Ovis aries: one gene and its partner. The protein of the gene in region 2 interacts with the protein of the main gene of each other region in a pairwise test. Links are inferred from orthologs where the notes say so. Each region holds a gene or a part of one and is shown on either strand. Other genes may lie near its edges.

Region 1 (4,093 bases), on a different chromosome or scaffold from region 2:
TATTGCCTTGGCTATTTAACCAAGACATATCATCCTTCTCTAAAGATATATTGTAATTTGAAACATGGGATTCTTAAAAAAATACACTTTCTACCACCTTTATAAGGTTGACTACAATATCCAATAGAGCCTTTCCTCTTGTAGAACCTGAGTGCATTTGTATAATCATTTAAATATCCATATATCCTAACCCCTTGCATACTATGCTGCTCCTTAATGTTTTTGAGTATTAATTTTGATTTGCAATAAATGCCAGTTTTCAAAGATTTACACATTAACATGCAGAATCATGTACAATGCATTTGGACTGTACATGTATATACACTACCTCACTCAGTCCCCTTTCAAAATAATCCACTTCAGCTCTGTACATTTAAGAACAAAAGAATAGCAATTCAAATAACAAAAGAAATCTCATAGTAAAGGTGGAGTTAGGGCACAGACTTTACGAAAGTGCCATTTTGTTTGAAACATTATTTAAGTCTTTTCTTAATATCTGATACTTAAGAGTCAATATGGGATAAACTAAGTATGGATCAGCAATTCACTTTTTCTGCCTTTCAGATAATAAACCTTTTCTTATTAAAGCATATATATGGTAAATATAAAACATCCATGGTAAAGAAATAATATTATCAGTATTTTGATAGCTTCTATGTGCCTATCTCAAGTTTAGAATCCCCATCATACCAATGAGTACCTCGAATTTTAGCCATTCCCTTGTATTCTGGTCTTGTCATCTGTTAGTTTACTTACGTTATCCTTCTAGGACACCTTGTATTTTTACTTAATATTATGTTTGTGAATCATACACGCTGATATAAATTTTTCTTTTTCACTGCTGTACTGTATTCTATGGGACGAATTTATCCAGACATTTGAACTGTTTCTAATATTCTGTCATAAACAACACTGTTATAAACATGGATACCAAAGTACATGTACAAGGGTTTTTCTAGGCCTATGAGTCTAGGGTATAAAGCTTGAGAGGAATTCTGGGTCATTTTCATTTTACTAGGAAACATTAAGTTCTTTTTCCTAAGTGGCTGTATTGAAATTCATTATAAATTTGGCTATACTGTGAAACACTAAGCAAACATTCCACTTATAGTCTTCCGAATTTAAAGCTAAAAGTATTTCCTTTCTGAACACAGTGTAAGTCAAAATAATCCTTTTTATTTAATAAGTGAAAGACGCTCAGTCGTGTCCCACGCTGCAATCCCATGGACTATACAGTCCACGGAATTCTCCAGGCCAGAATACTGGAGTGCTAGCCTTTCCCTTCTCCAGGGGACCTTCCCAAGCTAGGGATTGAACCCAGGTCTCCCGCATTGCAGACGGATTCTTTACCAGCTGAGCCACAGTAAATCAAATAATTGAGAAGCGTGTAGGACTATTAGGTCTCGTAGTTATGTATTTGAACCACAAAAGACAAAAATGTTTGGAGAAAACAGCTTTAACAGGATGCCTACTACAGAGAGACAATTACAAACACTATCTCAATTCTGGGGAACAATGCAATTACTATCCCCATCTTCGGAAGAGAAAATCTGCTCACAAAGGTTCAGGATCTTGCCCAAGGTCACACACACACAATCTATATATATTAAGACGTGGCGTCCCCAAAATTTTTATCCATAGATAAAACTTTTTTTAAAGCGACTTTTTCGATTAAGAGGAACCTTAAGATTTGAATCTCAGTATCTGGGAGGACTTCACGTTTAATCCTGTTAACTTCCAACCCAGTAACCGTGGCATTACTAGATCAAAAAATTTCAAGTTAGACCAAGATGGTTCAGGCCAATTAGAAAAGAAAAAAGAAACGTTAAAACAAACAAAAAACTCCTCCCTCCCGCCAAACGACGGTTTTAGACAGCAAATATCAGCAAACGTCGCTGGTATTCCAGTGTGCTTCCTTCGAGTTAAAGTACAACTAAACGTAATTTTTAAATATTTTAAAATCTGCAAGTCCGCTTCTTAAAAGTCTCTAGTTTCGAACCAGGTTTCCAGTTCCATAAACAGGGAAGCCATTTGCCGTTAAAAGACTTTCCCAGGGTGAACTCGGAGACCTCATCCTTCTCTCTCAGCAAGAACATCCGCATTTCACGATGAACACTAGCTCTGGAGAGATCAAATGACTTGCTCAAATCCGCCGGGCTCGAACGCCGGGAAACTGAGGAGGCCCGGGCTGGGTCGGCCGCTTCCAGAGCTCCCCTCCTGCTGCCTGTGGGGCTGAGGCTCGGGCGCGCCGCGCCACGACGACCGTCCGCAAGCAGGGGCTGGGGCGTCGCCAAGCCGCCGCCCCCTCCCCCCACCGCCCCGCCAGCGACCCGGGGGCCCAGGCCCACATGAGGCCCGCGCCCTAAACTGCTATTAAGTCCCGGATCGCCTCGCCTCCCAGTAGGGAGCTTCGCTCCTAGGCCCGCAGTCAGCTCCCCAGTTTTCCGCTTGACCGCAGGCTGCGGTCTCCTCAGGAAGCAACCTCCTCCCCGCCCCCCGCGCACACAAGGCCCTTCCTCTCCTCCTCCCCCCTTACCCTCCACGGTCACGATCCCGGTCCCGGTCCCCAAAGCCGCCTCCGCGCATGGTCCCAAACGGATAGAGATCTGGGAGCGGGGCACGGATGGCCGGGCTCGGGAGGGCCTGCGGCTCCGGTCTGGTGACGACCGATGGCGGCGGCGCCTCCGCTGTTGGGGCGGCGGCAGGCGCGGCGCTCTCTCGCTCCGACGCGCTGTCTCCCGTCGCAGACGCCACCGTCGCCGCCTCTCTCGTCGGAGACGGGAGCAAAACACAGAGAATCGGGGTTATAAAAGCAACGGGTAGGTTTGGCTACGCTCAAACCCGGCAGTGCCGCGGCTTAGGCGTCTCCTTCCCTTCCCAGCGACTGCACAAAATGGCGGCCGGCGCTGAGACTGCTCCAGCTTAACGCTACGTACGTCGGAGCCGATACGTAAACAGCGTCTCGGAATAGCCCGAGGGCTTCGCGAAGTACTATGGGTATTCTTGAAGCGTTTTACGTCAATTGCGGAGACGGATGCACTTCGCGGTCTGTAGCAGAAAAACAAAGTACGGATTGGGCGTAGAGTTCTCGCGCCTCCTGAACCAGAACTAGGGGTGGGGAGGGGAGGGGGAGAGCGACGTAACATTCTTGGCGTCGTTAGCCGGCCCACTATTGCGAAGATGCGCAGTGTACGTAACACATTCTGTTTAGAGAATAGAGGATTTTGCCGGGTTCCGACGCGAGACGAAATCAGGGCCTGCTCGTACATATCGGTGTGCAGAGACAATAACCGTCCTCCATATTGCAGGCGTCAACTTTCAGGGTTTCTAGGTGCTAAAATCCGAGGACCGTCTTCAGGGACCCTGGCCGGCGCTCCTAGACGGTCTTGGCCAGCCCTCTGGTCTCGTCGCCCTGGACCCGGCGAGACTGACCGCACGCCCCGGCGCCATTTCCTATCGGTTGCCGCTCAGCGCTGTCGCCGGCGGCCATGATGGAGGCGCCTGGTCCGTTCTTAGGGGGAGTTGGTCAGGCGCCGAGGTCCCAGCTGAATTAGACCGCTATCCTACGCTTCTTTCACAGGAAGTGCATTTTGTGAACAGAATATTTACATTGTAACCGGCTGGACACGGTTGACTAACAAAGAGCTGAAGTGTGGGTAGAGCCCCTCTTTTAAGGTAGACACTGAGGCCCCTGGGCCGGCTTTAAATGGCTCTGCCTCAGAAGACCCGTTACTGGCTCTTCGCGCTCTCCCCAGAGGAAAAGATTTAGTTTAAAAGCGGTGGTCTTCAGGTACTGAAAAGGTGAAGGCATAAGTACGTGTTTTTAAACAGGAAACAGGCTAGACTGCCTTCTCTGTCAATTCCATCTAAGCTGACCTCCTTCTCCCTGCTTCCTTCTCTTTCCAATTTCACTTTTAAAGTCTCACAAGCTTGGCCAGACGGCGTCACAGGATTGTCAGCTGCTACGGCCCTTGCGGAGTAGCTTATTGAACGATTCTTATTTCTACAGGTGGTAAAGCCCCCATTTGGGGGGTTGAGTGGGGTCTCCTACTCTTCTGAGTGATTTCCCAAATTGTTAGAGAAGTAGCATAAG
Region 2 (3,647 bases):
AGCCTGCCCAAGGTCACAGAGGGAGCGGAGGAGCCACGACCTAAACCCAGCAGTCGCCTTCAGAGCCCAGGTTCCTCCCCTCCATGCAACTCGAAGCTCCATCCTCAGCTGAATGACTGCCTGGTCCTTTGTGCTCTGCAGGGATTCTTTGCTGGGTGGGTAGGCCCAGCGTGGACCAAGGTCATACATCCCAGCAAGGTTGCAAGTTTATCAGGGCTCTCGAGAGATGGCGTGGGGTGTCCAGAGCTCCCCAGACAGAGAGTGCGGCCCTGCCGCCCCCTCCCTCCTGTTCCCCCAGGCGCACCCTGGCTGACATCATCATGGAGAAGTTAACTGAGAAGCAGACGGAAGTCGAAACGGTCATGTCCGAGGTCTCGGGCTTCCCTGTGCCCCAGCTGGACCCCCGCGTCCTAGAGGTCTACAGAGGGGTTCGGGAGGTAAGGACTGAGAGGAGAGCCATGACGGGACACCCCCACCAGGGCTCTGGGGGCCCACATCTCTTGTAGGCCTGAGGGCAGGCTCGGGGTCCCTCTCCCCGCTTATGACTCTAGGCTCAATTCCCCACTGAAAAATGAGGATGATACTAGAACCTCCTTACAGGATGGTTGTGAGGACTGAGTGAGTTAATGGACGCGAGGAACTCAGATGGGTGCCTGACAAGCAGCGACGAAGATGGTTCTATTCCCTCCTGCGCAGGTGTTGTCTAAGTACCGCAGTGGGAAACTGCCCAAGGCATTTAAGATCATCCCTGCCCTCTCCAACTGGGAGCAGATCCTCTACGTCACGGAGCCTGAGGCCTGGACCGCTGCTGCCATGTACCAGGCCACAAGGTAGAGCTGATGGGAGTGGGGCAGCCTTGGGTCTATAGGGAGGGCTGGGTGTGGGAAGGACAGGCTTTCCCTCTCTTTGTCGTTACATGCCCTCCCAGAGCTCTCTTGTGCTTCTTTATGGCATCACTTCCCCAGCTTTTCCTGTTTCCTGTTCTGGGGCCAAGGTCCTGTTAAGAACGTCCTGTGATGCATTTCTAGGGGAGAGGCGCCTAACTACAGGGACACAACCCTGCAGTGTCAGGGTGGCCTCAAAAGTCTGTGGCTCCCCAGGCATGTGCAGGTCCCTGGTCACAGCAGGGTACAGGGGACCCCTGATAGGGAGGGGAAGGTGAACAGCTGGTTCCTGTCTGTCTGCAGAGCTCTGGCTTGCCTGAAGACAGACAGTGTTCACCCCCATTCAGGTACATCTTGCAGCCCCTCCTGTTCCCTCTCTAATCTGACCTGGGTGCTGCACTGACCCAGCTCCCTCCCTGGACCCTCAGATCTCTTGCATGCAAATATCATCCGCAGTGATATTTGAAGGGCCAGCTCTTTGAACTGACCTGGGATCTTCCTCCTTCTTTCCAAAACCACTAGGATTTTTGCCTCTAACCTAAAGGAACGGATGGCCCAGCGCTTCTATAACCTGGTTCTGCTCCCCCGGGTACGAGATGACATCGCTGAGTACAAACGACTCAACTTCCACCTCTACATGGCCCTGAAGAAGGCCCTGTTCAAACCTGGAGCCTGGTTTAAAGGTGGGGACCCAGGAGGCGATTAAGAAAGGGCAGGGCCGGAGCTCTTGCAGGACCTCCTTTCTCTCCCTCTGGACTGCTAGTGACCGTGCCCCTCTGCCCCTCCCCAGGCATCCTGATCCCGCTGTGCGAGTCGGGCACCTGTACCCTCCGGGAAGCCATCATCGTGGGCAGCATCATCACCAAGTGCTCCATCCCCGTGCTGCACTCCAGGTAGTGTTGCGGGCTCTGCAGGACCATAGATTGGCCCATCTCGACAGCAGAGTCCCAGGACTTGGGGCGGGGTCGGGACACGTGGGGAAGGAGTCAAGCATAAGCCCTTGGGTTTGCAGTTAAGTCGATGGGTATATGATAACTCCACAAGATTGTCAGTCCCGTGGGAACAAGGTCCCAGGGCCTGGCCCATGCTAGGTGCTCAGTAAAGAGTTGAATGAATGAGAGAGGGGGGAACGCAGGAAGAAAGTAGGTTGGGGCAGAGACATTTGGACACACTCTGAGACAGAAGCAGTCTGAGCCAGACAAGGGTATTTGGCGTGAGTCAGCGTAGCCCGGGTAACAGGTCGAGGGAGTGAGGGGAGGGGAGAAGAATGCAGAGATTTTCCTTTAGGGACAGCACAGTTTAGACCCCGTGGCAGGGCCAGGGTAAGGAGCAGCTTTCCCCCAGCGTTTCCCTGCCTCCCTTCCCCACTAGTGCGGCCATGCTGAAAATTGCAGAGATGGAGTACAGTGGGGCCAACAGCATCTTCCTGCGGCTGCTGCTGGACAAGAAGTACGCGCTGCCCTACCGAGTGCTGGACGCCCTGGTCTTCCACTTCCTGGGCTTCCGGACAGAGAAGCGCGAGCTGCCTGTGCTCTGGCACCAGTGCCTCCTGACTTTGGTCCAGCGCTACAAGGCCGACCTGGCCACGGAGCAGAAGGAGGCCCTCCTGGAACTGCTCCGGCTGCAGCCCCACCCCCAGCTGTCCCCAGAAATCAGGCGTGAGTTGCAGAGTGCCATCCCCCGAGATGTAGAAGATGTTCCTGTCACCATGGAGTGAGGACGCAGCACTCGTCCGGGTCTGCGGAGCGTGGAAGGACTCCAGGATCCCTGATGGTGACTGGAGGTGATTCCGAGCCTTGACAGCTGAAGACCCGGATCAGGGCCAAGACAGGTCGCTGGCCTCTGACTCCCCAGTTCTCAACAGGGGGACCTGAGTAGGGCTGGTTCCCTCTTGCGTTCTAGGCCTGCATCCCTGCTCAGTTCTGAGACCGGACTTGAGGTCCCACAGCCCAGCACTCCCGGGTCCCAGCTAGGGTTGGAATGGGTACTTCCTCTCAGGCTGGTGTCAGGTCACCGGGAGGTGGATAAAGACAAAAGGCAGGTATTTATTGAACCTCAGTGTTTTGATGTGATGGATGGAGATCTTTGCTATCCTTGTTTCGCTGGAAGCAAGCACTGCTTCGCTGGAGGCGGGCACTGCTTTCCCCTCATGCGTAGCAGTGGATTCTTACCTATTTACATGGGAGCCACGTATTTCCCCCACCTTATTCTTCTTCTCTAGGCTGTACCCACCCTGCCAGCCCCTAGAGGGCACAGCCTTTGCCTTCCCCTGACACAAGCTACTTGGGGAGAATACCAGCAACCAGGAGGTTGTTCAAACACGAGAAGGTCTCAGATTGGTTGCAAGAGCTAGAAGAAAGCACCTAGAGGAAGGTGGAAATTCAGGATGAGAAAGGTCAGACCCAGGGTCACCACCAGACCAGTTCCCTTTCTAACTTTCTTAGCCAATGAAAGCGTTCAACCAGGGGTTGGCAAATCAGGGTTGTGTATGCCTGTTTTCTTACAGTCCATGAGAGAAAAATGATTTTTTACATTTTAAATGGTTGGTGGGGGAGGCAGAGAAAAAACAGCAGTATTTTGTGATAGGTGAAGATTATATGAAATTTAAGTTTCAGTGTCCCTAAAATAAAGTTTTATTGGGACACAGCCACATCCATCCACTTCCATGTCCTGTGACTACTTTCACTGCCCCTACAGCAGAGACCAGTGCAGCCTGGCTAGAACCCTGTTACTTGCTTTTGCAAATATGAGTTTGTTCCAACC

Evidence for each region. The genes of interacting proteins can lie anywhere in the genome.
Region 1: the proteins of BYSL (region 2) and DDX17 interact in binary tests that used the Homo sapiens proteins (3 or more experiments, as listed by UniProt). The two-hybrid records come from large-scale screens. The link is inferred for Ovis aries from reciprocal best matches to the Homo sapiens genes BYSL and DDX17.

The regions. Positions count from the first base shown.
Region 1 is NC_056056.1:216,005,241-216,009,333, forward strand, and holds the start of DDX17 (probable ATP-dependent RNA helicase DDX17), read right to left. Parts: upstream 2,899-4,093; 5' UTR 2,587-2,898; coding exon 2,537-2,586; intron 1-2,536. UniProt on the Homo sapiens protein: As an RNA helicase, unwinds RNA and alters RNA structures through ATP binding and hydrolysis.
Region 2 is NC_056073.1:15,728,875-15,732,521, forward strand, and holds part of BYSL (bystin), read left to right. Parts: intron 1-298; coding exon 299-437; intron 438-696; coding exon 697-830; intron 831-1,406; coding exon 1,407-1,567; intron 1,568-1,674; coding exon 1,675-1,777; intron 1,778-2,255; coding exon 2,256-2,601; 3' UTR 2,602-3,647. UniProt on the Homo sapiens protein: Required for processing of 20S pre-rRNA precursor and biogenesis of 40S ribosomal subunits. May be required for trophinin-dependent regulation of cell adhesion during implantation of human embryos.